3 linked regions of the Drosophila melanogaster genome follow. The gene in region 1 interacts genetically with each later gene. Each region holds a gene or a part of one and is shown in the gene's direction. Other genes may lie near its edges.

The links.
Region 2: of ru (region 1) and caz, changing one suppresses a phenotype caused by changing the other (phenotypic suppression), as found in Drosophila melanogaster (one study listed by BioGRID).
Region 3: of ru (region 1) and net, changing one enhances a phenotype caused by changing the other (phenotypic enhancement), as found in Drosophila melanogaster (one study listed by BioGRID).

Annotation. Positions count from the first base shown.
Region 1 is NT_037436.4:1,366,367-1,375,746, forward strand, and holds the start of ru (roughoid), read left to right. Parts: upstream 1-4,261; 5' UTR 4,262-4,514; intron 4,515-9,380.
Region 2 is NC_004354.4:16,286,731-16,298,386, forward strand, and holds caz (cabeza), read left to right. Parts: upstream 1-2,079; 5' UTR 2,080-2,220; coding exon 2,221-2,227; intron 2,228-2,296; coding exon 2,297-2,428; intron 2,429-2,495; coding exon 2,496-2,592; intron 2,593-4,326; coding exon 4,327-4,361; intron 4,362-5,210; coding exon 5,211-5,380; intron 5,381-5,464; coding exon 5,465-5,913; intron 5,914-6,155; coding exon 6,156-6,465; 3' UTR 6,466-6,790; downstream 6,791-11,656. Other genes in the region: CG32576 (uncharacterized protein), read right to left, coding at 428-509, 1,228-1,406, 1,495-1,586, 1,653-1,677; UQCR-14 (Ubiquinol-cytochrome c reductase 14 kDa subunit), read left to right, coding at 1-193; ERp44 (endoplasmic reticulum protein 44), read right to left, coding at 7,166-7,310, 7,385-7,583, 7,658-7,924, 7,995-8,388, 8,493-8,584, 9,317-9,401, 9,580-9,636; CG3632 (uncharacterized protein), read left to right, coding at 10,046-10,060, 10,931-11,054, 11,119-11,656. UniProt on the Drosophila melanogaster protein: May participate in a function common to the expression of most genes transcribed by RNA polymerase II.
Region 3 is NT_033779.5:79,102-90,959, reverse strand, and holds net (net), read left to right. Parts: upstream 1-3,572; 5' UTR 3,573-3,867; coding exon 3,868-3,940; intron 3,941-6,682; coding exon 6,683-7,692; 3' UTR 7,693-8,539; downstream 8,540-11,858.

The DNA of each region.
Region 1 (9,380 bases):
GGTTTACATTGAATTAATGGACAGGGCGCAGTTGCTATGCCAAAGTTATCCCAGCAGCACGAAGATGGGTCCTGCGATGCGAAAAAGAGTTCGGAATGCAAAGCCTGAATTTGAGCAGCTGATGGATGGGATGGACTTCCATCGGGAAAAGCCAAAACTTGTGGCGGCAAAAATTGGGCAGAATGCGTAATTGTTTGTTTCGAATGCGTCTTTTCTTTGGGGGGGGGGGAAATCGAAATGTTTACTTAGGCACACAAATTAATCGGGCCAATAAACCATTAGGAGCAGCCACCGGTAGTACTTTTCCACATTGACTCGCCAAATTTGTTTTCGCATTTTACTGAATGGAAATTTAGCTCATTGATGAACTTTTAAGAGTTGCGTGAGTGTTTACAATGATTAAACGGAGTTTGGGTTAAGTAAAGAGCTTCTTATCAAATTCCCTGTTTTTGTTGGAATTTCATGTAATTACAGAGGAATTAACAATTAACAATGAAATAAACAGTCGAGTGGCACAAAGATCTGACTCTATTTCACCACCGATCATGAATGATCGTGTTTCGCTGCCTCAGTCATTCATCTTTTGGTGCACCTCCCCCACCACTTCCACTTCCACTACTACTTCCACTACAACCAGTTTCCTCCTCTTATAACAGCGAATCCATCACTTGTCTCCGAACATGTTGTGGCTCTCTTATACTCACACTACTACGCAACGTGTTCGAACAGCTGTTGCAACAACTGAGAGACGGAGCAGCGCAACATGTTTGGCCGTATAAGAGCATGCAACTTGCTTGTTTTTCTATTCTTCTGCCGTTTGTTTTTTTTTTTGTTGTGGAAGCAACTTTGTTGTACCCACTGTGCAGATGCATCTGAAAGATACTTGGATACCCCATTCCCTAGATACTCGAATCGGATACTTGCATTGGCATTGTTGTTGTTATTATGCGGCAGGCGTTGCATTCCTTAAACATTCGTACTTCTTGGCTTGTGCCCTCTTCCATTCGGATTTCTCAATAAAATTACCGCCGGCTACTTTCCGTTTTCCGTTTGCCCCAGTCCATTCCCCCCCCCCCCTTCTCCTTCTTCACACTTTCGAATTTGTATGCGCAGAGTGTGTTTTAAAAAAGGGGTTTTTGGGGGGAAGGGGATGCCACTAGAGTCTAGAGTTGTTTTACAATGCCACTCGTCATATTCGCAGCTGCAGCAGATTGTGTCCTCTGTCTCCTTCGTGCACATTGTGTCTGTCTCACTTTCTCATTAAAATACATTGGTGATATGAATTTTTTAAGATATTAATATATAGAACACTTTTTGGTATCATCTACTGAAAGTTTTTCATATACTTGGTGCCTTTTGTTTGAGTTTATTTATATAAATATTGATCATGGTATTTATAGGAAGTGGTTGAATGCTATTTTCGTTTCGCTGATGACGATTATCAAAAACAATTGCTTAGTTTAAGATACTGAATCTAAATAGTATCTATGCTACTGTACTTCGATTCTCGTTCTTTTTTTTCTGCAGTTTTTAATGCCTATATCGCCCTCCCTGTCGCTCCGCCACCTGCCCTCTCTTTTCAGCCGTCTGCAACGGAAGCAGACGCTGGGTAAAGGGAGTTAGGGGGTTCGGAGGGACGGTGCATGTCATAATAATTATTTTATGTTAAAAGAAGCGGAGGCAGTGCGAAAAAAAAGACGAAATTTGAGCAGCGGCATGTGGCAGAGGCAGGTGAGGCCGAAAAACTAGTTGGCCGAAATCCTTGATTTCCTCGCTCTCTTCCTGTCAAAGGATATCTTGGCAGCTAGCCATCTCTTTCCTTGGCACGAGCAGCAAACAAAATAAACAACAACGCGCACGAGAAGAAGTTGAAGGCGAAGCGACAGTGGCATTCGCAGGATATTTTGAGGGGGGTTGCAATCAATATCCTTTAAACACATTAGGCATATTTTTAATAAATTAAGTATTCCCCTCTTCAACCCCCCTCCATTTCAATGATTTCAGGTGTTTGCTTTTGCCCCAAAACCCCCGAAATTTCATCGCCTACGTCACTGCATGTCACTGTTATTTTTGATGTTTTTGTTGTTCGAACATCTGTTCGATTCGCCCCGTCCCTTTCGCTCCCCCTCCATCCCTCCACCCAACCGTAATCACATTTTATTGGATTTTATTTTGCGTGCGTTAAATCGCCTAATCGTCTTTGTTTTTTTTTCCTGTACTTTTCGGCTTATCTGTGTTTTGCATAAATCGCTTTTTGCCTTTGCTTTTCGCTGGCTGTTTGAATTTGTTTGATTTTTGTTGTAGCCTCTTTTGTTATTTTTGTGATTTTTTATTTTTGCTTTGCGCAATATTTTCACCTTGTTTTTTGTGTGTATTATTTTTGGCTTTTATGATTTTTTCTTTGTTTTCGTTTCATTTTCTTCATTTTTTTTTGTGCAATTAAACACGTTGAAGAAAATATAAAAAAATAAATGGGCAAGAGTGAAAATGAGCGAGGAAAAAAATATACAAAACACGAAAAAAATGACAGCTTAAAAAATTGTCTTTTTAGCCCATGCAATTTTTATGGGCAAATGTTTATCCTGTGTTTTCTATTTTACGACTGCGCGTAATGGAATTGAATTGAAAGTGTTTTCTTTGGTCGCGCTGGAAAAACATTTGCGGCACAAGATATTAATTATAAGCTTTTTAGTCGTTGCTAGTATTTAGTGCTAACTTTTAAACCAAAGCATTTGGTGCCTTTTTAATTTATTATCGAGCTACCTTCTTCATATTAACTATCTAGTAATGTGGAAGAAACTTTAATCTTAGTTTTAGTTATTTTATAGTAACTAGCTTGCATTTAATTCAAATTGCAAACAGCACCCCTATATTATATTAACAGTTATCCTCTTGGCACCCTTAATTTCATAAAAAAAGGGGGTCCATAGACCCTATTCAACTGCCACCTTATTCATCTTGAAGTCAATTCAAATCCAATCTGCGCGATTCGAGGTGGTATTCGCAGGGCGAGCGAGCGAGATAGCTGCTGTGTGGGAGTGAGAGGGGGCTAGGGCGGTACAAAGGGTCGGGCAGCGCCCTCATCAGCTGTCAGCGGCAGCAGAATGAGGCCCATTTGATGAAGATGTTTCTGCAATTGTTAAGTGTATCTGGGCCCTTTCGATGTTTGCTGTTTGCTATTTGCTATTTGAGCTGGGAAATGGAAGGAGGCCACAACACATCAAAATTATACTCGATATGTTAACAAGTTCAGATACAAAAGAGATGACTGGTCCCAAGAGATGCCAGAGATAGCCCACATAAATAAGTATCTCGTGGCTGGTGGTAGCTCGTATCTCGTGTCTTGTATCTTGTATCTCGTGTCTTGTATCTGATGGATGCACCTATTGACACCCAATAAACAAGGCGAAAACAGCAGCTGCGACCGAAGTGCTTTGATTTATTTATCAGGGGCAAGAAATCAACGTTGGGTGTTTTTTTTATCAAATCTATCTAATTATACATAAACTTTTACTTTTTTACAGTACCAAGATCAGTTTGCAAACGAAAAAACATTGGCCAGATATAATTTGAGGCATAAGCCTCGCTTTTTTTGTTTCCCCCAATTGTTTCACATTTGGTAATGCAATAATTGAGTTAATTAGCCAAAAAGGGAAAACACTGTTTCACAAATGGATTAAGGGGACAAAGATGCTAACTTAATAAGTGACTTGTTAATTATCCGTCGGCGGCTGCATCTGCAACTGTCTCCCTCTCGCTCTCCGTCTCTCCACTTTCTCTGTCGCACCTGCAGCTGCCGGTAAAAGCCAGCTGGCTCCTGGCTATCCCTCTCCCTTTCACTCGTTCGCCCCATCTCACTTCCTCACGTGACTCCTTTGCGTGTACCGTTCACCGGATGGTGGCCAAAAAAAGCAAAAAGCCACGACAAAGGAAAACTTGGCAACGCGTTCGAACCTCGAACATGTTTGCTGCACCTGGCTTTATTGTTCAAAAGGGTGGCTTAAAAGGGGGAGGCGGTTTGCAGGGGGGGGGGGGGGTTTCTTACCTTGGCCAGCAAGAGCCGGCTTTTCGAAAGGGGTGCAAAATGGAAAAAAAGCACACACACACAAACACACGCACAACTAACACAGCGGACTGTGCACATGTAAACCCTCCGGTAAGGAGGCTCTACCCCTTTCGGTTTTTGGCCAGGCCGGCACTTTGCGAATCTATAAAAGTATCGGGCCGCATAAAAAACGAGCTCAGTTGTGAACGGTACTTTGTAACGGCAACCGGCGGCAGCACGCGCAACTAACGGTTCACTGGAAAAGTAGAGAAAAACCACCGAGGAAAAACTTAGTGGAAAAGCACCGAACATTCGTACCGTTCGTAGCATTTACTGCTCGGATCGACTGCCGCAGTAACTTGTCGCTCATCCTCGAAAGAAATAAAAAATAGAAGCTGCAACCAGTTCACATAATCCTGCCCCCCCCGGATGGCCTGCACAAGAGTCAACCATTTCATCACCCCCCTCGGTAAGTCATAACACCCCCCGCCTAGGATTCCCACTCTCAATCCCCCATCTATTCCATATCTCACCCACGGAGATCCCGGCAAAACCCCCCAAAAAAATAAATCCATCGGCTTAAAACTTGGCAAAACTCAGCTCCAAACTCAACCATGCTGAGCTGAACGTATTTGACTAGAGCGAGCACTGCAAAAAATAAAGGTGTACTTCATGGTGCGAAAAATTATCGCACTGAATATATAATATTCTCTTTTACTGCCGTTAATATCCATCCTCTATTTATAACAGAAACCAATCTTATTAGTTAGCCATCGCAGTTTTTGTTTTCAGTGCATGTAAATCTGCATCTGTCAGTGCGGCAGCAGCTTCAGCATCAGTATCTCTGTCTGCTTTGTATCTTTTGGGTTGTAAAAACATCTGTGCTTGTCGTTCGGCATCCGTATTTGCTGCCGTTTGCAACGGGCCAACTGCAATGCTACCAACCACTCCCACCCACCCAGCCAGCCACCAGTCGCACATTGCGTATACGCAACGTGGAGCGCGGATTTAACTAAAAACCGTTTGCGCCCGAGCTGTCAGCAAATGGCAAGCACTTTCCGTTGAAATCTCCCCCGGGTCACCCGGTTTTTATATATATATGTATGTGTGGGCTGCCCTGCTCCATTTTCGATATCTTTTGTGGGATCTCGGACAAGTGCTACTTCTGGCCAACTTCTGGCCAGAACTTCTTGGCCAGCTAGCTACTGGTTGGTTGGCTATTCGATTTCCATTGTCTCTTTTCGAATGGAAACCCATGTGCGTGTAGGCAGGAGTGGCCAACGATCGATGGAGAGGGTCTGTCTGTGCGTGTGGGCGGTCCTCGGAGCTCCCAGTTTGGCCATCCATCTTGCCACCAAACCCACCAAGTTCGTGTGTCTCCAGGGCGAGAAGACGCCACATTTGGCTCACTTTTGTTTACACTTTGATTTATTTACGCAGCCTCGAAAAGTATTTCATTCAATCGCAACGATGCGAATTTTATTCACTTTCCGAAATTTTTCTATTCTCGTGAAACTTTTGCTAAACATAAAAGTGCCAAAGTCTCGAAATCGAAATGGAAATCAAAACCAAGATCCGTTTCAGATGCACAAATCATGGACAAAATGACAGGGGAGTTGGGGCTGCCTTGGGCTTTTGTCACTGGTGAAGTTTTTGTCGAGTGCATGAAAATACGAAAAAATTAATGCGTTGGCTATTCTTGAAAAAATCATACGCAATGCATTTTAATTTTTCGTGTCTCTTGTTCGTTTTTTGTTTGTAAATATATAGTTTTTAAATGTGTCAAGTTTGCTTTTATACGCGTCAGAGTGAGAGAGGCAACGCCGAAAATAAAAACAATATAGCGAAACAAACAAAAAAAAAAAATGAAAAAAAGTCGAAAAAAGACCCAAAGACCTGATTTCAGGGTGGCTTAGTTTTGTTTACCCATTTTCGGGCCACTTTTCTTTTACTAACGTGTGCAGAAGTGAAAAAGTTTTAAAGATATATGGTAAAAAAAAGTTTCCCAAGTCATATTTGTATCAAAGGAAAGCTGTGAATTAAAATTACTATCCAAGTTGTAAGACTTTAATTACCATTTGCTTCCGTTTGCTGAACTAAATTTGGCCAAAACTTCTGACTGCTATTAAATTCAGCAACTGATTTGTGTCGTTCTCCCCCATTTTCCAGCGCAGAAGTCAACAGTTTATAGTGTTTAATCATTCTTAAGCTGTCTCCACCTCCGCACCACCCCTTCACCCCTTCACCCCTTCACCGCTCTTCCCTTTTGGATCACCTTTGACCTTCATTAGTGTCAGACCCTCTCGCATTCGCATTAATCTAGGCAGACATTTCAAGTTGAGCTGTTGCAAGACAATGGCTCAAGCAGTTTTGTAGTTTGTCTTGTCGGCCAAGGTGCACACGCACACACTCCAGATACAGATACAGATACATTGATGGTATCTTTGAGATACTCACTCGCACAAACGCATACAAAATAGAGCTCATAAATCAGTGCAGAAGCGAAATAGTGTGTAAAAAATTGTTGTGCAACTAGGCTTTTCTGAACCAAAAATGTTAACAAATATTTTCAACTTTTAAGCTAATCAATTTAACTTTCAAATAACAAGTATATATGCTGCTAGTTAGTGCTTCAGAAATTGAATAAATTCCGTAAGAAATTGCCGGATTATGCAACCATTCGAAGTTGCACCCCCGCCAGCCCCCACTGCCCACCGACCAGCCACGCCCCCGCCACGCTGAGGCGCCCCAAAGTCTCAAAGCGACACAAACAAAGAACTCGAGTGGCGTGTGTGTGTGTGTGTGTTGCACAAAACCGACGCGAAACGAAAAGTCCGAAAAAACAACACACAGTCGGCTGAAGGAAAAACCTTCGCGGCGGAAAAACAAAAAATAAGCAGAGCAGCGATGTGAAAAGTTGAATGCCTAACAACTTGAAACACGCTAAAAATGCGAAAAAAGAGATCCACACACAAAAAAAAAACAATAAATAAAGAAAAACAAAAGTCCAAAGATGGAGCACACAATAACTATAACAACAAGAACAATGAGTCGGAAAATGTGGAAATGTCTTGGGAATCTTGCAAAATGGATGAAGCTGCTGACGTTGTTGCTGCAGTTTGCTGAATTAGATAAAAGTTTAGGAAATGTTTATGCTCGAACTAAGGCGCAGATGAATAGCGCAGGAACTCCTTTTACCAAATACCCTCGATGGAGCAGCCAAGGGTGCAAAAGTCTATTGGGATTCACATGCATCTGGTGTGGGTTTCTACACAAACTTGACCAGTCGGATTGCTCGGAAAATGGTGCAAGTGAAGCTACGTAATTATTCAATGGGAAAACTCAAACTTTTGGTCATTAAAATGATATTTGGTTTGTTTATACTGCGACTAGATGTTGTTATTCATATCTTAGTACATATATTGCTTGCAGTATCAATTCCAGGGTACTTCACTTGCAGTGCCAACCATTTTCCCTCAGATTTATTTTTATATTTTTAAACTCAGGTAGGATAAGGCAACCTGGCAAATGGCAGGCGGAAATGCACCGAAAATAAATGTGGGTAAAAATGCCAAGGAGAAGTGGAAAACGGTGTTTGCTTCGCCCGGACGGGAACTTTAGTTGCCATTGCAACTGCAGTTAGTGGAATGTTGTCTACACGTAAATATTTCACACCAAACTCAGAAGGGGGGTTCTTCTTGGAGTTGGAAGAACAGGGACGTATCTGTGAAGGGTGGTGGGGGGAGGGTGGTATTTCGGCCGGAAAAGTGCCTAACCAGCGCAATGTGCAAATACAAATGCAATTGCAACAGCGGAATATGAATCACAAGCTAAAAAGTGCAGCCACCAAGGGAACTCCGCATACTCATCGCTTATCGGCGATTTGCGTTTTTCCCCCCTTTCACCTGTCTTCACCACCACTCTCACCAACGCTTTTCATTCATCAATGTGCTTCGAAAGAGGTGAAAATGAAACAAAAGAAAGAGAGAGCTGAAAAAAACAACGAAAGAAGAGCAACCGAAGAAGATAAGACAGCAAAGATTCGCGGATTGGCGATAAACAAAAACAAAGGCAAACGATTGCGAAAACTGCAGTGCAAACCACAAACAAACATGCTAAGAATGCATCCCATAGATACAGATACAAATACACATACAGTGCTACAAATTATTATAAATACAAATTAATCAAACAAAAATTCAGATTATTCAGTATATAAAGTATATGAACTCTAAATTACACACTATTCATTTGTAACAATCGATAGCACAGGTGTATGTATAATAGTGATCCCACTTAGCGAGTGAGCACTGTAGGCATGCATCTGACGTGTGAATCGACACTAAGCGGTCTCAACAAATGCTTTTAATAAGAGCAGCCAAATAAAAGAGATTGAAAATTTACAAAATCTGGCGAAAAGTGAAACGGAACCCAGCCAGGGTCACATTCTCTAGAGAACGGAACCCAAACCAATTCGAATTGCGTTGAGGTGAGGGGTTCTGTTGAGTGAGTCAGGCCCACGCAATGCGAACACCTGAAGTCCCCATCGATTGGTGGCCCATAGAGGGAAGGGGTGAGGTGTCCCAAACGAGTTTCACACGAAACGTGGGCCAAAGTCTTTGACGTCAGCAATTGAAGTTGGTCGACAACTATCAAAGCCGAGCCATTGACACAATTTGTATACGCGATTTGCACTTGCAAAAAGTGTGACTCTCATGTGATAAATATTTAAAAGCGGAAGATTGTGTTTAGCAATGTAATTAATCAGATCTCAGCTAATTGAAACTTTGCGACATATTTCAATTTCAATTTAGTTTCAAAGGAAGCGCACTAAATATACGTAGCTAAAAAATCACACCGATGTTTGATTTTTCGATTATATTCTTTATCAATATTTTTTTTTGTTAAATAGAGTATGTTTCAGCCGAAACCATTTGATCCAATGCATCGCACCGTTGTCATGTAGTATTTATGATAGAATTAAGCAAAAATCACGGACAAACCGAATGCAAATCGTTTACAAAGAGTTATCACAGCTATTTGGGTTATTATTTTGCATTGACGCAATGTGAAAAAAAAAAGGAAAATAAAATCACCAAAGCTGAAAAACCAAAATCGAGAAAAACACAAAAATGCCCGACAAATAGCACAATAAGAAAAAAAACATAGAAAACGCTTATATATGTATGTGAAATCAAATATTCTGGCAATTAAACAGCAGAAATTGTTGGTCGCCGCTTGTTTTGCATTTTTTTTCCTTCGGGTTTTATTTAATTTTAATGGCTGCAACCACAACACGAATTATGCAGATTTACAAACGCCGACAAAAAGGCGA
Region 2 (11,656 bases), on another chromosome or scaffold:
CCGATTGCCCAGGAAGCTGTACGATGAGCGTAACTACCGCATCATGAGGGCCCTCCATCTGTCCATGACCAAGACCATTCTGCCCAAGGAGCAGTGGACCAAGTACGAGGAGGACGTCAAGTATCTGGAACCCTACCTCAAGGAGGTCGTGAAGGAGCGCGAGGAGCGTGAGGACTGGGAAAAGATCCACTAAACGCGCCACTAAATCCCTCTACTTTGGACTTGTAAATGTTGAAATACATAGCTTAGATAAATACCAAAATTGGCTATGAAATCGAGTCTGCGTGGTCGTTTGGGAATGTGGACCCTTCAGTTTATTTCAATGGGCTTTCGCGTCAAGGCGAGATGAGCGCGTTAAGTGATCATGAGTATGGGCTATTTGCTATGTTATATTTTTTATTTTTTGTGAGGCTCCATGCTACCTTACCTTTTGTATAAATGGTAAATTAAACAGCGATCCTAAAACAGGCACTCGGCCTAGGAAATTAATGGCCACGGGGAAGAAGCCGCTGAAAATATAAAGAGAAGGACATTAATAAGTAATAAGTAAACGACAAATCACTAAAAGAAGTTACTTCCACTTGTATTGCCATCTTGCACGTTTCGAAGTTAAGTTAAATTCTTATATTCACTGAATATTTTCCCTACTTTGAATAGATTTCCATTCATTAATCCGATATATATGAAGCAGACCTTTTAACGTTCGTTAAAAGATATTTTAATGAATAAAAAGACCTACATATATTAGGGTAATTATTAAGTTGCACCTTTGGTCGTAACTTATGAAGAAGCATGCAATTGAAAAGGTAAAAGGAGAGAGGTATAGATAGGAAAAAATGTATAAAAGGACAGAACAGAACAAAACAGACAGAAACAGCGAATAGTTATAATGAAGGACATACTTTTTGCTTTCTTTAGCTCTGATCAAATGCTATAAAATCTGATCGAGCTTTTTTTGTAAGCGAATCTGAAGAATTATACTTGGTATTTGCTGTTAATGCCACAGCGTCAAATTGTCCCATCTACATGACTTGCAGTCTTTCAATTAAAATATAAAATATTTCTAAAGGATGTCATCTGACAGCAACTTTGACTGCCAAGCCCTGACTTGCGAATGGTGTATTAAGAGCGGGAAAGCGAAAAGACCATGTGGAGTGCGTAACCGGTTAGCCCCGCTCAAATGGTCTTAAACGAATCCGACTGGGACTTGGCCAGGGTGCTACGAACCTGAAGAGTGCGAAAAATCCATAGGATTCAATAATCATGCCGAAGATGGGGAATCCCAGCAGGACGATGACGATTCCCCCTAAGAAGGCCGTTGTGCCTTTGACTTTGTGCCGTTGGAAGAAAAAGCGCATCGTGCGCTCCACGCCAATGACGCAGGCCAGGCCCGATATGAATAGAATCTGCGGGAAAGAGGCGATTGCTATTATTATAGAGCTCGAAGGGTGTGCTATATGGGGCATATGGTGCATGTGCATGTGGGTAACGTACATTGCCAATGGCGAGCAGTCCTTTATCGAACAGCAGCAGCATGCCGAGAAACAAAAAGAAAATGCCAAAACCAGCCAAGCCGATGCCAATTTCTGCGGGAAGATTTCAATAGGCGGTTTAGTTGCGCTGATGGCTTTCGCATATTAATGGCTACTTACTCTGCAAATCTGATATTTCAATCATTTTGTATTTGGCTCTGCTTTAATTTGATTTCAGAAAAAATTAAATCCACGTAAACACCAATTCAATTTCAAAGCACAAACAGCTGATTTCGACTTTCATTCAAAGTTACGTGCTAACGACTGTAAACAATGTTTGCAGGGATGCAAGCGCTTTAGTGTTGTAAAGCGATCAAGCTGCCGATTAATTATTTAAAACCTCTTGGATTCAGTCCATTTGGATGCAAATAAATGATAAAATGTATTAAATAAAACTATTTTTACCATTTAATACGTATTTTCCCACAAATATAATATTCGGCATATTTGTGTTCCATTCCCACACATTTCAATGATATATAGATAGATATTTCGATAGGCGCTACAAGACCCACACATACCAGCCCCCTTCGACGCACATCCCTAATTAATTTTCACACGCCATTTTACAATAGAATTTGTGACGATCTGACGCTTTCTTCAATTCGAGCAATTTGTACGCAGCGAGTTATTGAAACTCCTGCAATTCTATTGATTAAAAAAAGACTTCACGCAACGTTTATTAAACATGGAACGTAAGTATAATTTTAACACGCGCATAAGTCGCAACGTGAATTGAAAACGATGAAATATGTGCACTCTAGGTGGCGGTTATGGTGGTGGTTCGGGACAGGGATATAATAATTTCGCTGTCCCCCCACCAAATTACCAGCAAATGCCAAATAAAACGGGTAACTACAACGAGCCACCTCCGAACTACGGCAAACAAGGCGGTGGTAAGGCGTGCATGCGAACTTTGTGTTGCGAGCAACACACCAATACTCACAAACTTATGTTTTTAAGGTTATGATTCCGGTTCCGGTCATCGTGGTTCTGGTGGCAGCGGCAACGGTGGCGGCGGCGGCGGATCATGGAACGACAGAGGAGGCAATTCCTACGGGTATGTTATCCACTTTTAGTATTTCGCTGCTGTTGAGTTACAGCGAGGCTATTTAGATCATGGGTAGTAGTCTTTCACGGAGGTTTTTTAAGTGTTATAAGAGAAGTGTACGCATATATAAATATTTACAAATCAATCCAGCCAAACCAATGAGAAAAGACACCGAGCCACTCCTTGAAACATGAAGCGTATTTTAAAGATATTATTGAAATGCAAGAGATGCACTGTGCTGCATCAGAGTGTGAAACTGCTTGAAGCTATTCCTGCAACTACGACTTGTTCCGACTGCTTAAAAACGCAGAAAACATAAAATTATAACAACAAAAAAAAACGTATCTCCCAATTTGGCAAATTATTATTTATCCGCATGACTGTATTTCATGTACGTTTGTTTTTTTTTCATCGAAAATCTGTGTAAAAATATTAGAAAATGGTATTTCAAAATGGTTTTGACGAGTCAAATGAGTATAATGGTAAAAAAAAAAACAGATGATGCCCTGGGGAAACAAATATCTGCAATGCATAAATAATACTGGTTATACTGAATAAGTAATAATAAGTAATACCACAGTCGTTGCAATCGGAATAATAATGGTCGCCTAATGAAATCTATGATGAATTTGTGATAATTGCATAGAGAATCGCGCACATGTTATTATTATCGTTTTAAACCATACACTATATCATCCATTCCTGCCTTAATACGATACAATGCTAGCATAAACATGTTCCAAAATGAACATTCAAAAAATGTGTGTGTTCCCAACAGGATGGTTATGAAAACCAGATCAAACATGACACAAGTGTAATCGAAGATATAAAGCTAAAAAGAATATAAAAAATATCAACCAGCAATCATAAAATTAAATAAATTGTGGCTCGAGACAAAAACAATAAACAATAAAAAAATTCGATATATTATTAATGCACAGTTCGGAGGAATTGGTATGGTTCTGAGACTCTAATCATCTTAAGGTATTTACGTATACAAAAATAATAACAAATTTTAATTATTAGCTATTAAGGTTATTACATATGTTTATACACATAAGAAAGCAATGATTTTGCGCCTAAGAGAGAGCTTACCTCTAACAATCTAAATGTAAGATAGTTTTAAGCAATTTGTTTTATATAGTTTCAATCTCATTGACCGTTTTTAAGGTATTTTTTTTGTTTGTGATTTTAACAACTACTAAACTACTAAACTTTTGAATTATTTATCATTTAAGCTTGTTTTATAGTAGTTAAGCAAGAATGTAGGTATGTAGGTAGTGTTGTGTGTTTAATAACGATGGTATTTTGCTGCGATATACCTACTACATACATAAGTGTATTTAACTGGGTCGAACTCCTTCCTTCCCTCTCATTTCTGTGAATTTGGTAAACAAATGCTTTTCCAATAGTAGACTAATGCAAACGTTAAGATTATGTGTATAAGAGTTAGGTGTATGTATGGCAAACAGTATGTACGTTGTCCTCCTTGGCAGTTTGATCAGTGACTGCCGCCGCACTTGGCTCTAATTTTGTGATGGAAAGCAACAAAACGGACATTCGCTGTTTGAACGTCGTCGTCACTGACCGAACTGTGCCGGGTGCTCTATAGATGGTATTAGATGCCATAAGATCGAACAAAGCAATACGTATTCTAACAAGGGATCCTAGGCGTATACCTCACCATACTGCATTAAAACCAAAATCAAAGCATTAAATAAGTTATTCAATATCCTCTTTTAGAAATGGAGGCGCCAGCAAGGACAGCTACAACAAAGGTAAAAATAATGCAAACAATTGCAAACATATCGAGTAATGTATACCAATATTTTTCTACATATTGAACTTGAATCTAAAATCGAAGTAGAACAACAAAATTTTAAACACAAAAAAGAAAACCCAAACCGATTAGAACATAAAAACAGAGTCTAATTCCAAACCAAAAGAGTAAATAATTGAATATGCATATTAAACAAACATCCTCCTTTCCTGGCGGCATTCTTTTCATTGTGGGGCCTTGCCCATTTGAAATTTCGTCGAAAAGTCCACGCATCGTTACCTATAAAGTGTATTTAGCGTACTTTTCCAAATCGTTGATCTCTGTTTGATCAATATATAATGGTTAACGACCGACTCGGTCAGCCCACGGGTATTTAGTATTTAATTTCTGTAAAGTGTTGTATACATGTGTCAAAGCGTTGTCACGAATCAAATCAAGGGTTGGTCGGTCGGGCTAACTCCTGGCAATTTGGGGTCACCTGTTTGTGTTCTTGTGTACCAGTCAGTCTGGCTTTGATAGCTCAAAAGCCGACCGAAACCCGTTCAAAGTGTCCCCATGTCGTCTCTCCCACGGTCGTCCACCCACTAAAGGTTTTTTGAAATACACCTCAAAATTCTGGTTTCACATCTAAGTGTCCTGGTTAAAATGTCACGGAACAGCCGTCTACTTTGGTCCTCACCTTCGTTGCATTTTTTGGTGGTTGCAGTGAGGCGAGAAGTTCTAAGAAAAAAACAAAACAAAAAAAAGAAAATGAAAAAACCAAATATTAATTAAATAAAGTAGCAGTTGCATTCTAAGCTATACCCTGCCGTGCCAGCTCGTCCTTATTTCCCATTCGCTTTTGTAGGACACGGAGGATACTCGGGCGGCGGCGGTGGTGGTGGAGGAGGCGGCGGCGGTGGGTCCGGTGGCAACGACATGATCACCCAGGAGGACACCATCTTTGTCTCCGGCATGGATCCCTCGACCACCGAGCAGGACATTGAGACACACTTTGGAGCAATTGGCATCATCAAGGCAAGTAGTAATGTATTTTATGTATCTGTAGCTACGTTTTAACCTTTGTATCTTTCTATTCCTTTGCAACTGATCTAACAACAGAAAGACAAGCGTACAATGAAGCCCAAGATTTGGCTGTACAAGAACAAGGAGACCGGCGCCTCCAAGGGAGAGGCCACTGTCACCTACGACGACACCAATGCTGCACAATCCGCCATTGAATGGTTCGATGGACGCGACTTCAACGGCAATGCGATCAAGGTGTCGCTGGCCCAGCGCCAGAACAACTGGAACAAGGGCGGAGGCGGCGGCGGCGGTGGTGGTGGTCGCGGAGGATTTGGCGGACGTCGCGGTGGTGGTGGCGGCGGAGGAGGTGGCGGCGGCGGTGGAGGTCGCTTCGATCGCGGAGGAGGCGGTGGCGGCGGACGCTACGATCGCGGAGGAGGCGGTGGTGGTGGCGGCGGCGGTGGCAACGTGCAGCCCCGTGATGGTGACTGGAAATGCAACAGCTGTAATAACACCAACTTTGCCTGGCGCAACGAATGCAATAGGTGAGTTGAGAGTTGAGATATAATTGCTTTCAACATTCCATTCCATCATAATTCCTAAAACTCCACACTTGCTTGTAAATATCGTGGAGAACCCAAAGTGTAGACGAAAAACTTATCAGTGTTTGAAAGCAAGCAATTTTTGCTGATACGCCACATAATTGCCATAAGTCTTTATCTTTGGGGAACTACAAATTTTACAATCTTTGGCTTGCTACGATAATAATAATCACGTCCATTTGCAGATGTAAGACTCCCAAGGGCGACGACGAGGGCTCTAGCGGAGGTGGTGGAGGCGGCGGCTACGGCGGCGGTGGTGGCGGAGGAGGCTACGACCGAGGAAATGATCGTGGATCCGGCGGCGGTGGATATCACAACAGAGATCGCGGTGGCAACTCGCAGGGAGGCGGAGGCGGCGGCGGCGGTGGTGGTGGCTACTCCCGCTTCAATGACAACAATGGCGGAGGACGCGGTGGCCGTGGAGGTGGTGGCGGCAATCGCCGCGATGGTGGACCGATGAGAAACGATGGAGGCATGCGCTCGAGACCATATTAAGCGCATGGTAGCCAGCCGAACGCGGCACCTATTTTTTTCACTTTTACTTATTAATTGTAGCGAGAGTACGCTTTTAAATGTACTTTTAAAATTAACAGTCAGAGCAACTTTTAAATGATAATTGCCAGCACACGACTTCATTTGAACCGATTTTTATCCCAACACACACACGGTTATCGCTCGTTTTGACTGAATTATATTATATAATTATGTAATCTAATTTAACAACTGTAACTGTAACATGGTACATACGAATAAACATATATATATGTATACATATATAGCTCATATATATGTGTATATATATATATATATAGAGAAAATCAAAATCACTGCTTTGAATTCGGAAGTTGACATCATTCATTTCCAGCTTAGCTGACTAAGAAGGGGATTCCAAAGAATTCAATAAGTTCGCCTCGCCGAAATCTCCAGCGTAATTTTTAACAACAAAACGAGGAAAACTTGAAAAGTGACGCGTGCAATTTGTGGATAATTCAGCAACTGTTTCTTTTTGCAATAACAAAGGTGGTTAAATCCAGACTTTTTATTTTTAGAATTGCATTGAAGAGAATTGAGGCTGCTGCGCCCGCTATTTGCATGGATAACCGCTCACCTGCTGATCTGCTTTCAGAGAAGGTTGCTCATTATTACATTTTTGTATTATTTTCTTTTATTTTCAATATACATTATTATTATTATATTACAGTTCATCTTTTTCTAGCAGGGTGTAGCGATGCTTGGATGGGCCAAGTTCCTTGAATTTGGACTCTGGTGGCGATGTACCCTTGCCAGTGTGTGGGTCAGGTTCAATATCATTTGAGGGATCCGGCCCGTAATGAAATTCCCTGGAAAGCAAAGCAGCAGACCGTTTAGTAATTGAGCCCCATGGTGTTAGCAAAGGCGGCTGTATAACAATTACCTGTGCAGCTTGCCACTGTAGAGATCCTGAAGGAACTGCTTCAGCTTACCCGGCGAGTACATGTCACTGAAGTGGGGGAACAGATACATGTGCTTGAACGAGTCGATGGCAATCAAGGGCAAGTCATCCTCGGATTTACCCAGATGGTGCAGAGGATGCGCGAATCGCTTGCCATCGGCGGTCAAAAAGTTGACGTTCTCTGCAAAATTTCGAAAATACAATGTCAAACCAAATGCTTATATGCAAAGTAAACAACACGATGATTCATCTTACGTTTCTCATCCAGCAATTGACGCTCAATGATCGACTTGTAATCCTTGATAGAATTATGATCGGTTGGGTGGTGGAAGAGAATTAGGAACGGCAGACCCTCCTCCGTAAGTTCCTCTGCATTCTCAAATGTTATTTCCCGCACCAGGGGTACACACTTCTCTTGGACCCAAATTTTGAGCTCATCGAAATTTTGTAGGCTGCCAGTGTAGGTCTCATCGTTCTCATGAGACAGAGCTACATCAGGTCTAAATACTATGATAGGTGTACCTGTAATAGACCAAAAAAGCTGACATTCAGTATTGGCTTGGCATGACTTGGTGCGTTTGATAGAATTCACCTGGTGGATGCATGGCCTGGGCGGCATCTCCGAAGCCCACGTGGAACTGGCAGTCTTCCTTCAGATTTGTCGCCACCTTGCGGAATATGTCGTACTCTGGCTGGTCCCTACGATCGAAGTAGCCCAGAATGAGGCGCTTCTTCGAGTCCAGGTTCTCCAGATCCTTCAGGGATTTGAACTCCTGAATGGGATCCTCCAGCTGCTTCTTGACGAACTCGAGGAACGCTTCGGCTGAACGCTGTCCTCGGTATTCGCGCTTGCTGAGCTGCCCATTGCGTACAATTTTCAATGTTGGATACTTGTTTATGTGGAAACGGGACGCGATGGCCGTTTCCTTGTCGCAATCGACCTTGCCTAGCACCACTTTTCCAGCCTCTGGAAACTCCTCTTTAATCTGTAAGAGAAATTCGATTGAATGCCACGTATTTATTCGATATAAAATGTATATGAATGTATCGCATTGTTTGTAAGCTTTTACTGGCGATCCATTTGACTCACCTTATCTGCAGCTTCCGCGAATATAGGTGCTAAAATATTACTAAACCGACACCACTCCGCATAAAAATTAAGGAAAACCAATTCATTAGACGCTGCAAGAAAACAAAACGTGTTTTTAATGTAGGCACCAAATTGTGTGTAAAATTGTTGATGCGTAGAATACAACTCCGTTCAGATACTAAATATAATAACTTTTAAAAACATATATTTGGTAATATATTTATATCAATATTGAATTACGGGTTTATGTATTAATAATTTAAATGCATATGTATTTTTATGGAATATATTTAAATTTGTCGCTGAATATACATATTAAAGTCAAGAAATTTCTAGCATCCTACTATTCCATAACTTCCGAAAGTTAAAATTTAAGGGGTGCAAGCCTAAGGCCAGGCTTTACTGTAAAAGTTAACGTTTGGATAATAAAAAAAAATAACTTTAAAAAAACAATATAGTATTACCGCAGGATTGTGTACAGGACACACCGTATAAAAAGGACCTATTCATGCAAAGACCAAACTTCGGACATTCTGAGCAAAGAACTGCCGACCAATGGCTAGTGCCCATTTTGGCGGACTATCGGACCGATGCAGCATGAAATATAAACCGCCCTAATTAAGTTTTATCCAAATTCCACACCTTGTCCTTTACGAAAGCGCATAAAACTTATTTTACCACGTTGGCAGTGCCGAATTGAGCGAGCCAGTGATTTTGTTTAGTGACACGTCAATGGGACAAGTCGGCTAATTGATTCCCGCTCACGCTGGCAGCGGGAATGGCATGGGGATGACTGTGATGGTTATGGTATGGGCATATCTCACCTAGGGTCATATCGATATTATCACTGGTCATGGGCACGGCTCCGGCGGCATCGGCCGGCTGTGTGTACTGGAGTAGCTGTAGAATCTGTAAATTCCATAGGATGTCAGTTCTGGTTAGTTAGTTATTTGGTTAGGGGGAGCCAAAAAAAAGCCGGGGCTGTCTGGCCGGCCCCTCCCCACTGTTTCCCCGCCCGCTGATCGAGCGGGTGAGCCACTCCAGTGACCAGCAACATGACCAGACAGAACGGAACACGTCGACTCACCGCAACTAGGGCCACACACGGCCCAAGCTTTCCGATTCCGATTCTGGCTCCAAACATTCTTGTTCGGCTTCCGAATGGCGAATGCGGCTGGCGAGGAGTGGGCGTAGAATTGCGTGCACCGGCGGAGAGTCCAAGCGATCGGTTCTCTTTTTTTCTGATTTCAGTTACACATCAGCTGGAATGGAATGCAAACGTACGCACAATTATTAAGTTTTACAAATTTTTGGTTGATTTTATCGGCTGGCCAGTGTTGGTTAGTCTCGAATGCACATCTCATCGGCAATCGAGTAACGATAGCTTAGTCACATGACTTGGCCATCGCTAACAGCAGCGATAACAGCGATAGCAGCAAACAACGATAGCAATTTCAATGGAAATGAAACAAAAAGTGTCTAAATGAATACATATGCATACATATGTATGTGCAACAACATTTGCAAATCTTTGTTTATAATAGCTGACGCTTATGGATTTTATGGTGGTAAATAGAGCGAGAAAATCTAGAAGCCAAGCGCGTTTTCAATTCGGCAATACGTTTTGAGCTAAATACCCCGAAAAGTCTGCTGAGCGAACGGTTTGTGGAATCCAAAAACCAAATGTGTGTGCATACATATGTACGATTGTAATGTGTTATTGTTGCTCCCCGAAATATCGAAACACAAACATACCTACATAGACAAATATACATATGAGTTTATGCAAACATACACATGCGTAAATGTTTAATTACTTTGTTTATGACAACATACACGGCCATTAGAATACGTTGAGTACGATAATCGGCCATTTTTCGCCTATTGGCTATGAAATCGTGATAATCTAGTCTATTGGTATATATGTGCGTGCGTATGTAATGCAGCGACACACAAATATGTGCATACTATATATTGCGCACCTTGTGGAACTGCAACTGTGTGTGCTCACATAAATGTATGTTCATTGTACATTGTACATCCATACGTGCATATATATGCAGTGCATTATCTATATTGCCACCACGACACTCAAAAACTCAAATATTAACTTCGATTTGTTCTAAAAGTGTTGATTGTGCCCAATTTATCATCCCAGTGACATTTATTTGGCTTTGTTTGTGCACTGCTTAATGCACATGCACATATGTGCATAGTATTATTTATTTATTTATGGGAGCCACTATACTATACGTATCGAATCGTCCCAATAACATCGCACACACACTGTTGTGCGTAATTATGTATTCGGATGGTGGATATAAGAGATATATGCACTTATAAGCGATAACCGGATTTCCAATGACACCCAAATCGCCTTGCCTAAATATAAGCAAATAAGTAATTTCGAATACGTTACATGTTAAGTATTCTTTTAGCCGATTCACACAATGTCCGATGGATCACCGCCTCCATCGATTTGCTTTATCCGTGCCGCCGAATCGTATCCAAAGTCACAAATGGAGAAGGAAGACTCCCAGCTGTTCGTCCCGTTTCAAGAGTGTAGGTGTTCCCCCATATGCTGTAACCGATAACACATGCTAATCTATAGTATATATACCACTAGTGGCCGGCGAATCGATTAAGTACCTGGGGCGCACGGATGATGGTATCCTCGCCCTGTCCAATTATCGGATATTCCTTTCCAAGCAGTCAACCGGCTACGAGACCTACGTTCCATTGGGATTAATCGAATCCGTACAGGTGCGAGATCTGTTCCAGCTGATTGTCAATTGTAAGGATGCCAGCACTGTGCGCTGCTCCTTTCCGTCGGCGGAACAGTGCTCCGACTGGCAGCGCCGGATCCATCTGATGATCGGGGTTCCCGAGTCACTGGAGACACTCTTCGCCTTTCCCTTCTACTCCTGGACCTGCGATGTGCTCGGAAGTGGCAATGGAAGCGGTATCGTTAGCGCCCAGGCCAACGGAAACGGCCTGATTGCCAAGGATCGTTGCCTAACGCTACACAATGGCTTGGCAAAGCCAACAGCCAACGTCACAGCGTCGAATCCTCTGCCCGATCCTGCCAGCGAGACCATCTCAGCCGCCATGAGCAATCGCCTGCAACGATCAGTGCGCTATGAAAGCGACTTTAAGAACGAGGT
Region 3 (11,858 bases), on another chromosome or scaffold:
CCGTATCGAGGTCCATATTAACAATTTTGTGATGCTGCCTTGCCTTATTGCCTCTGTGTGAATTCTCCTGTACAGTATTCGGATTTTGGGGGCTTGAGGCAAACGGTGGCAATCATTGCAGAGATACGGTCAATGCTTTTGCTTACATTTTTGCAGATGAGCTTGCGGGTGTTTTACGTTCAAGAAGCGTGGGAATTGCTGTGGTGGAGATGTCTGGACTCATTAATATTCTTCTTCTTTTATCTTCTTTCTTGCGTGCAAAGTCCTGCATTCTCCGGTTTGTCTGAGTTGTGTCTGGCAGTCAGTCCTGATTTTTTAGATTTTGACATTAATAACGTACTTCTTAGCGTCTAATTTTATATCATGGGTATGATTTCTGGCACGCATGTTATTGATGCTGCTGTATAGTTTCGCTTGCGGCTGTCACGTTTTAAAAGAATAAGGTGTAATCTACGAAAACTGAGCTTTTTATATTGCACTGGACATAGTTACAATACTCTTGCTTTAAGACAGATATCTGCACATACAAACATGTTCTAAACATATTCCCACGCAAATTAAAAGACATATTGTCGCCATTCACATCACTGTATGCAAGTTTCACACATCTTGAATTTAAGGATGTCTGTTTTTCCTATCCTTCTGGTCAGCATATGTGCCATTAGTCGCCGACGGCGCCGATTCAATGAAAATCTGCAAACTGGGTGACGCCGGCAAAGGTCAAAAGGCCCAGAAAATAAAAACGCCTCTTCTCAAAGAAAACACATGTGCTGGCACTTACAGCAAGCAGAGAATTCCATGTGTTACAAATTCGGATCTGAACATATTTTCGTAAATATTTGTTTTTATTTTATTTAAGTAGGCTACTGTTGGAAATCCTTTCACCAAACGCTTTTCAGAATATTTTTAGATCTATTATTTAATTGATATTTGATCCGATTCTCTATCTGAGACCATGTCCTTCCGGCCATGTCCTTCTGTCTGTTCACGTCAACTGCAAAAAATTGCACCCCGACCATTTAGAAAAATATACATACATATGTGCCCCTCGCACTTTCCCTATCTTAGTTTCTGAGATATCTGATAGAGGGAAGGAAATCGGCTATAGCGTTCTCCTTGTTGAATTATTATTAAGCTCACTAACTTGGGTCATTGAGTAACGAGTGTATCGGTAGAAGTGAGTTACGCAATTTCCATAACCACGTGCCAAGGCCGGTTGGTTCCACTACTAAACGTAACAAGAAGGAACGTGACGTCACATGGAGGGACATGTGCTTATTACGGCAACGTTATGTTTACTATATGAAAGGAATTTGAATTGAGACGATATCACTTTCAACTAATTTTTGATAATGATTTTGATCGAGTAACAAAGCCTTCTAATTATGCTAAATGGCTAATAGATAAAAGGTTATTTGATTTCGATGAGCTTCTCAAAAGCTGAAATACGCAACAAATATTACATTATGTTCCGCAGAAGGTAGGCATTGAGCATGAATATTCTCAGAAGTCACCACTACCTGACTTCGCTAGTTTTTCAAGAAATTTCCAATATCCCAGGCGTTTGTTCAAACTATTGGCAAGGACCAGATATTAGTCCACGCAGACTAAAAGCAATTAGTGATTGAGACGTTCCATTATCCTGCTCTTGTAGCTCCATGCCGAGAATGACAGGTAGAAATACCTATATGTGTATGTGCGCATGTACAAATGCATATGTGTTTTCAGGTATCGAATCGATATCCATTTTAATTAAATATATATTGCTATTTTTATTTCGGTAAGTTCTTTTTCAGAAGCCAAATCAGTGTAACTCGATTTGTGCATGTTCGTCAACACCATGTTGTCCGCAAAATACTTCTTCTGACTTGATCTTTGGTGAAAAGCACATATCTACATATGTAGAAGCCAAACTGACTTCATGTACTTAGAGCCCGTCCTCATACAGAAGCCAAATCAGTAACCGCAACTTTACCTAATTTTAAAAAAAATCTTTGCAAATGATTCCGAAGTAATTCTAGCTGGGGCGTACGGAAAAAATGGTTTACTTTTAAAGGAACAGATCAAATTTCGCCGACACGTACACGAACCATTTTTGGAAGTCCAGCATTCTTATCCTTGAACTTCCAGCTTGACAAAGGCTTGATCGCGACCTAAACGGCGGTAGCGGAGGACTGCTCAGGTTGCTACACTGGAGATTGTGAAGTCTGGGGTCTGTCCAATCGAAGAAAACAGGTTAGGCCGCAGCCCAATCGCATACTTTAAAAGCAGAACAAGTCTCTAAAAAAACGAAAGTCATCATTCAAAAAGCATTTCGCGCGACAGACTCAAACTCGTGCCCAGTGTACATCTGCTAAGGATATCAGACAAAAAGACGAAAAGAACCCTAATGATATTAGGGAACTGGCTCTTGCATTCATTCCAGCGGCAAGTTTTTTGTTGTGCGGCGTTCGAAAGAATGATCAGCAAATTTAAACTTTTTCCTAGAACTGATCTTTTTTTTATCCAAAACGTAAGGAGGTATTCATCCTGACTTAAATAAATTTCCAAATACAAGCATATACATATATACATACATAAATATAAAAGAAGCCATGATAATCCAACTTACAAAATTATGACGAGTTCTGTTTAAAAAAATACATACGTATCAAATAAAATATTTGTAAACTATCTAAGAAACTGACCATTCTATGCCTAAAAATCGAACAGCTTGTGCAATACTAAAATTAAATGTTGACATTATTAAGACCGTTGCTTTTACTTTCTTCGCCAGTGCCATCCGCAGATGAAATACATACTAATACATATTTTATCACGTATGCACAAATGAAATTGACGCTGGTATATGCGTTGTGTCCAGCAGCAATGTTGCAAGAAGAATAAACTGTTTTAATAAAGTCCTGATTATGATAGAGGCTTTAACAGCCTTATAAGTCAAACTTTGCAAAATGGAGAGCAGCCGAAATTAATTAATCTTACCTAATTCAATGGCATTTAAGATCTTTTTCTGTCCAAAATATTGAATGTATATTCATCCCGATAAGTTTACAAAAAGTCAAAAGACATTTTGTCATTGAAACATAAGTAAGGCCGCAGAAAAGTAATACTTGCAATCAATAAGTTGAATACAAATTTTTTCTAGTCGCAAATCTCAAGCGAGCGAATATTTTCATTCATAAAACTAATAATGTGGTAGTCAAACATGTTCGACAGCGAACCGATCCAGCGGTTCGTACCACAGTGCTGGCAGGTCTTTCTGCCTAATATTTCTGGTGCCAATAAGTTCAGAGGCCTAGCAAACTTAGCTGTTCAAAATTTTGCTTTAAAGTATTTATATATTTCTTGTAAAGATAAATACTTTATTTCTTATTAAGCATATAATTTACTTATGGAAGAAATATATTTTCTGGCTAAGGGCGCAATTTTTTTCAAGCCATACACACATTAGGACAACGGACTCTAAAAAAACTGAATGGTCAACACTGATAACCAAACGCAGTTCGACCGCGTGCTGCTTTTAGCATGAAGCCAGCCGGTCCCTGGCGCAGGCCATTTCAATCCGCAAGATATTTTCAATCCGTCAGATACTTTCGTTGTGAACAGTCGTGCTCCGGTCAGAAGATTTTACGAGAAATCGTGAAAATAAAAAGTTCTAATAAGTTGAAGATAGTGCCAAAGCTCACATACGGCTTAACCAAACCACAAATTAAAAAAGTGCCTTTAAACAATACGTGACATTTCAATAGGTTTATGTTAACATAAAGCCCGTAATTGTGAATAAATAAAATATAAGCCCACAAAACTATTCAAATACCGTTTTCGGATACGCGCTACTTTTAAAGTTCTTGAATGTCCTTCGCGGCTATGGCGAATACCAACACAGAAAAACTTTACATGCAACTAAGCGCATCGGAATTATCAGCAATTATTATGAAAGGTGGGTATTTACCTTTTGCACGAGCAAAGGACACTGCACCTGTTGCCTGCGAATTGTGCGGCACCTGCAAATACTTACATAAATATACACACCTACATACATAGGTTTTTTATGTCTTGCAGTCGGATGATTATAATCATTTCCCGCAAAATATTTGTCGACAATAATTTGTCAAATAGCTGTATATTCATTTTTGTAATCGAAACCCAAAAAGAACGAATACAATCATTAAGGCAAGGAGGCTATGGCCCAAGGCTATGCAATAGACACTGAAGATAATTGACGACCAACATTGTTAATAGGGGGTGCTGCCGTGTGCACCCAGAAAGCCCCACCAACTAACACGTTGCAGCAGAATCATATTAGCAGCAGACTTGTGAGGATGGCAATTAAGATGCAGACAGATACGTAAATAAAGCCAACTATGTGTCGCCAGCGTACTCCAACTTTCGTCTTGTGTTGCATATGTCGGCCAAGCACTTTGCCCGCAATGGCGAATTTGGGACGACGATGTCGCCAGACATATTGGCAATTTGTCTGTTTGTGAAGCTGGAGCGACAGTTGGACTCTGCATTGTGTGTCCCTTTTCACCACCGCCTGCTGATTGTTATAATGTTCGAGGACAGACGTTAACTCCTTCCATATTGTTGGTACTGTTTACGTCAGCATTTCATAAAATCGATTTTATTTTTTGTTTCTGTGATCATTTATTTAAAATGCTAGTCTTAATCAGCAACGTTTCGAAATGATTAGTCTAGATGGCCATTGGTTTGGATAGAATAAGGTGTCTTTAATTTAAATTGATCACTATGAGTTTATAAAAATTCCACTTATATTATTTTACTACATAACGCAATGTAGTAACAGGAAAGCCGAATGATATTGGGTTCGTTTTATAACCAACGTAAAAATGTCCTTACCAAGTGTGTCAAAGTACTGCATGATCTGGATGTGTTCTTACGATTCATTCATAAAAGTGATGCGTCATTTTACTACAATATATTTCATATAGTCGCTATAACATATTTACATTTATGTACGTATGAGTATATGCACTTGTTATGATAAGACGAGGCTTCCCACACAGGGAACGCTTCCCAGTGGACCGACCGCCAGCCAAAAGCCGCCTATGATGATAACCTTTCGTTGACTTTTGGCGTGAATATGGGATTTTCTTATGCCTCTGACAGTTAATGTCTGCCGTTTTTAAGTAGGTTTTAGCTGATTTTCGCAGGAGGGCATTCATTCTTAGAAAAAAAGGCCAATAACGGGAAAACCGTTGTCAATTTCTGAGCAAAACTTGCTATTTTGTACTTGGCACCTAAAGACGGATCAGATCCATAAAAAATAAACTAATTTGGGCGTACAAAAAACATCTTAAAATATTCTTAATATAAACAATCGAGAATAATACCTTCTTCCGTGTATACTAAAAATAAAATAAAATGTGCAGGTATTGCCCTTTGGTCGTTAGATGTAACTTTAAGTGTCTGATACGGACAACTTAAATATAAATTGGTAGAAATTTATTTTTTAAAAACTTGGCAAGCTTTAAAAATGTTTCCGTTTGGCACAGGTGTTTTAAACTAGACGACGCCTGCGAGGACGGTGGCTTAAAAGTAAACATTTGTCTAAATATAAATTAAAATGCGGTATATAAACCACGCAAGACATGGGATAGAGTTAGGGCTATAAAACTGATGTTATTTGTACAGCCTGATTTCGTGGCCGCAATGTCAGTCAGTTGCTTTGAATTTCGTTTCGTTGTTTATCTGCCTAAAATTAGAAAAGATAGCAGAATATTGTGCTTATAAATAGTTGAATAAACATGCAAAAAGCTTACCTTCCGTAAATGTGTGTCCGCACCGGTTCAAACAAACAGGGAATAAATTTACTCATTCTTAGCCAACTTAGCTTAAGTAATTAATTTAAAATTAATAACAAGTAATTATTGTATGTATGATTGCTGACAAACATATACATATATATAATGGATAGGCTGATAACACAATAATTGATTACAAAAAAAATTAGCTGTTGAAGACAAAGTTTTTTTTTGCTTAAATACCGGAATACTTATAAATATCCTAGCAGATTCTATACCTTTATACTTTGCTGGCACAACCAAAGTTGAAATCGCAAACAAATTCGATCCATGTATGTATGCTCGTTTATATGCATTGTGATTTTTTTTTAAATTGCTAACCGGGTTGTTGGCTTCTGATGCAGTGGCTGCTTCATGCTGAACTTGAACTGGCTTTATTCGCCAGACTTGAAATAAATTACTTTTAACAAGTAAGCTGCGTTTCGGCACTTCAATACTTGTGGAGGTCAGTGGTAAATTAAGAAACCTGTTTTGTTTTCGTGATCAATGCATAATTTCACTTTATATAATGGACTTTCTTCTCATGTAACCTCCGATTTGAATGTATTAAATAGATTTCATAGGGTGGAAGAACATATTATAGATAAGAAAATACGTCAAAACTACGTCATCCAATTAGTTTCGATCAGATGGTAATAAAAAATAGTAACTAAAGATTTGGGATTTATTGAATTTTGAAAAGTCGAAGGGGTGTCACACAAAGGCAGTCGCAGCCCTATTCGGCTTGCTGGCCTGTTCCGCGAAAACGGGGGTTTTTTTAAATTTACGAATACGAAATGCCAAACATTAGTAACCGGTTCGGCGTAATACGTCACAGATAGAAGATAACTAACTCTTAAATTTTTTGGTATTTTTAGATTCACCCAATTCCAACGACCGTGATGCGGGTTTTTGTTCCGCCAGTTCGGAAAGCGAAGGCGGAGACGACTTGGTCGTCGAGCACGCGCGCAGTGGCAGTCCCGACATCAGACCAAAAGGAACAGACTCGGCGGACTCCAAGCCAATAGCCCTTGTCCGCAACAAACGCAAGAGTTCGGAACCCTTCAAAGTCGTAGGTTTGACGACTCCCAACTCTAAATCCATGCCTGGTCCTCCGTCCAGTGCGAGTATGAATGCAACTGGTCCGCTAAAGAAACGCATACGATACACATCTTCCGCCGATTCGGCAGTTGTCCTAACGCCACCAGCCATAGACTCTCCACCGCCCAACAGTTGCATACCTTCCACGTTGCGCCTGCAGCATGAAATAATGCCTAATCCGGCACATATATATGTTCGCCATCCGGGAGTTACGACTCTTCACAGATCGCTTGCTGCCCACCCAGAACAGCTGGAACCACTCGCATTAGTAACGACCAAAAAGCAATGTGTCGACCAAGCGGGGCCTAAAATAGAGGCCTTTTCCGCATTGCTAATTGGAAAACAGCCATCCGCCAAAAAAACGTTGAAGGAAAGGACGCAAAAAGAATCAACGTCATCTTCCTTTTTAGAAGCTAGTCTTAGCGATGAGGATCTGAACAAGACGGGATTGGCACCAATTTCGCGACCTCATCAACATCAACGCAATTACAAGAATATGACTAGGGAGCGCCGCATTGAGGCGAACGCACGTGAACGGACCCGTGTACACACCATATCCGCCGCCTACGAAACGCTCCGCCAAGCTGTTCCAGCCTATGCCAGCACTCAAAAACTTTCCAAACTCTCCGTTCTTCGGGTAGCGTGTTCCTATATACTAACCTTAAGTAGAATGGCTGGCGAGGATTACAGCGCCGATCAATCCGTACCGTCCATTGCCACGTGCTTAGAAGCTGTAACATCAACCATCCAAACGGAGGGAAAAGTGAAACGAAAGAAAGACGAGTAATCTGTCCAGTTTCGTGGATAACTTACTTTTTTAGACTTTAAATGCGACTGATTTCTGCTATTTTTTTAAATATTTGTGCTTAAGCTTAGATTAATCTGCATACAGCATTCCTATCCACATGCTTTGATTCTTTGCCAGAAGTGGCCTAATAGCTTTAAAAGTTTTCAAGGCTTTGTTAGATATACAGACTTCATGAGTTTAAAAAAAAAATTTTTAAGTATGCCTGCATACAATTTGTATTTGATATTGACATTGTTATGAATAAATACTAGCGATGTGATCATAATTTAATCTCTACCTACAGAAACATTTTAGTCAGTACAAAAAGTCAACGCCATCTATGTACGAGTGTATAAAAAGACAATAATCGGCATCCTTAAAACCTATGTAAATGACAATAATGTAAACTATATATTTACCTAAAAAAGTTTCAGTTTCTTGTTTCAAACAGGATTTTTATATCAATTTACAAGTTTTTAAAAGAAGCTTTGCCAAAATGTTGTAATTTCACCATCAACTTTAGTTACCTTAGGACTGAATATGAAAATGTATATTTTTTTACATGTACCTCTATAATAAGATCAATTCTTCTTTTACGAATTGCATACAACAGAGATAATCAGTAGTAATTAAAAATCCGTAGTTACGAAATTAAATAAAGAATTTAACAAATTTCAGTTTATGTAAGTAACTGTAGACGTTTCCTCTTCAATTGTAATCTCATTGTTTTGTATACATTGATATATTTGTACCCATGTATACATTCATAAGTGTACGTGCCATAGAATCAGGAAATACACAAAACTTACTATAAAGAGAATGTATTTTTATATAGAGTTGGGATTTCAGGTGGTCGCGGTTAAAATATTAGTCATCTGGGTGCAAGCGCACTAAAGGAAACCATATAGAAATGACGGCTTTAAGGGTTATTTTATGTCTGTACGTTAAACAATCTTATCGTTTGCAACAAGCTATTTCGTGATATTAAAAACTCAACAGGTGCGCAAAGAACGGCACGCTATCGATTTAAGTACACCTGAACGCATCCACGTTATCGTAACGAGTTTTGGCAAAACTTAGTCCCCTTATCAGGTTCGGAAATATATTTGTCAGCTTATCTAGCAGGCACAAAGTTTACCAATATCACAGTAAGTTGACAGTGCATTAGAACTCATGACGTACTCTGAAAGAACTCAACACTATTAACTATGCATATTATTAACAAAGTAACTGCATCTAGTTGACCCAGTGCAATATCCAGAACAAATTACATCAGCTAAGAATCCTATAGAAAACAGGTTAAAAACAGCAATTTCCGATCAGTACATATATAATGACTTGAGCATTGGCGTTATTCAACAAAGAGCAGGTGGGAACTAGACCTGCAACTTACACATCTATATTAAAGTACCTCCACTTTCCTAATAAAATATTAATAAAACAAATTTAAGAAAATTTTCCCATTAATTGCACACACAAAATAGAGATTGCTAGGCCTATGGTATCCGTAATTTGTTAAGAAAAAAACAACAACGTTACTCCGTAAAATGCTGGATTTTTCAATGAATTTGGGGAAATGTGCGAAGGCCCTGTACAAATTAATATTAATTTTTCTTGCTTTAACATCGAATTTAAAGACAATCCCAGCCACATGCTGTGTTTTAAAATTTTCATTCTCCTGGTATCCCAATAATATTTAAAAAAATGAACATCTGCTCATATAAAAATGACTTCTAGTAGCAATGTTACAAATTAGCATTTGTGTAAATAAGTTAAAAAATATAAACTATAGTAAACCGGTGCATCACATGTCGTGACGAGATGTTATTTAAGTCGAAGCAAACTGAAAAATTGTTGCGCAAATATTGACTTTAAAGTCGTCTAAAAATACCACAAACAATTGTAGTTGCAGCTTTAAGTTATAGCAGACGACAAATATTGTCGCACCTGTCACAGGTGTGGCAACGTCTATTTCGGGGCAGTTGCCAGTTGCGCGTGTGCCTCACAAGGTGTTGGTGCGAGGGTGAGCCAATAAACTAAGTACTGTCTTGGCATCACATGCTGAGCTAGCTAGCGTGATCTTCTCATTTAATATGCGTACAAATTAGCACGATCAATGCTGCTTGGACTACATTGATAATTAACCAAAAATGTTCAACTCGTTATAGACGAGGGCTAAAAATAGATGCTAAATATCTCCGTTTTAGGATTTTCTCCAGCAAAGCAATTTTAAAGTTGTTCCTTAGCCCTTTGGTAACACATTTTGCAATATACTTGATACTGCGCTTTTTACAATAGTTGTGCATCCACAGAATATGAAATCATTGGGTTGAGACACAGCAATAGATATTTTTATGTAGCTGGGTGTAGGGATAGAAGAGCAGAACACTTTTCGCTATACAAGGAGGTAAGGTGGAAAAAAACTTGTTAGGAGCTTGTGTATGTGTACGTCAAGGCCTACAAGCACACCATTAGTTGGCGCCTAGATTGCAAGGCGCAATTGACAATTTCAAAATAAAACCAGACGACTGGTGGGCTCGTGACAGTCCAATAGCTGACCTAGCTAAAGTGAAGGAAAAGGAAAGAAAGCTATTAGGCGACGAATGGGACAGACTGTCTTTATTGCGTGCCAAATGGTTGTCTAGCGATTGCCGCGTAAAATATTATAAAAAAGAAATCTTTCAATTTGACTCATATGCACACATTCAGTCTGAACGAACCTAAATTCTCAAGAACGAAGTAAATAGCTTATTAAACTTTCTTTAATTATTAAGTTAATCATGGCTGCGTAAACAACTGATGCAATATTGAAAACGGATTACAACATTATGTATTTCCTTTTTTATTTTATATCACTTTTAAGGCCGGTTAACACGTCAAATGACTCATCCCCCGCTAACATATTTACGCATTTACATATTTCAACTGAAACCATCTGTGTCCATTTCCATTTCATTGCAATTGCCAAATCCATACCATCCCAGTAATCCAAGACATGGACATGCGCAATGAAATGGCGCCACCATTAAGTCCATACTTCTACGCAATATGCCCTGCTGGACCAACTCAGAATCCCACTCGCACTTGCCTGGCTGGCCCTTAGCAAATGTATCACCTTAAAAGAAGAATCTTTGTGAGCTTTTCGACATAGACACAACTTGGTGCAGGACATTTATGTTAAATTTATGTGTACGAGATTTATTAACTATAGAACTTATATACATACATGTATATGTGTACATATATAACATATATGTTAAAACCAATCATAGTTGCTGACTATCTGAAGACAATCAAATCTCTTAAATGGTTGCCCTTCAAGGCGTTATTGACTGCTTTTATGAAACTGAAAGTAGCAGAAGCAGACGTTGACGCCGCCGGCTTCTAGTGTATGGCATCGCAACAGCAAAACCGAAAATGGATGCGAAAGAACGATGTGTCCAACTACCATATGAAAATATGCAATCTAACGAGTGTAAGATTGATCTCGGGCGATATTCTGGGAATTCGAGAGCCGGTGCTCCAGTCTGATCACTGGTCCCTTACTTGGAGGTGCACACATTTAAACATGCCGGTATATATCCAGCGAATATATAAAGGAGAAACGAGCCGTTTAACCTCGTTTTGAGAAAATACCCTGCATCTATTTAATTCACGGAGCAACGAAAAAGAAGTATAAAAATAAGTTAAAAAGGTTATAACGTCCAGAAATACAGAAAAAACATTTGTACATCTAATATATGGATTTATGTATATAATGTGAAAAACGCTTTTTGTTTTGAATACTTCAATCTTGAGGCGTACTTTGAAATCCGGAATAAAATACCAACTATGTTTGTTTTGGCTTGCAATTGGATTTAACAGACCGAATTCAAATTGATACGTCCGATCAGTAAGTGCTAATCCTTGGATTATTACATCCACAATATAATAAAAACAATGGAGAGCAAAAAAAACGCGGCGGAGAGCCATATAAATATCCGCGGAGTAATTTTTCGATAACTTTGTTTTTGGCTTGCAATTCGGCATGAAAGGCACCAGGCTCAAGAACTCGGTTTCGCTGGATGCTTACGACGAATGAGAAACGGGTTGCATTCCGTTGACCATTTCAAACAATTGGCAGTGGCAGCTGCTGTGGCAAACCTTTGGGCACAGGAACACTAAGG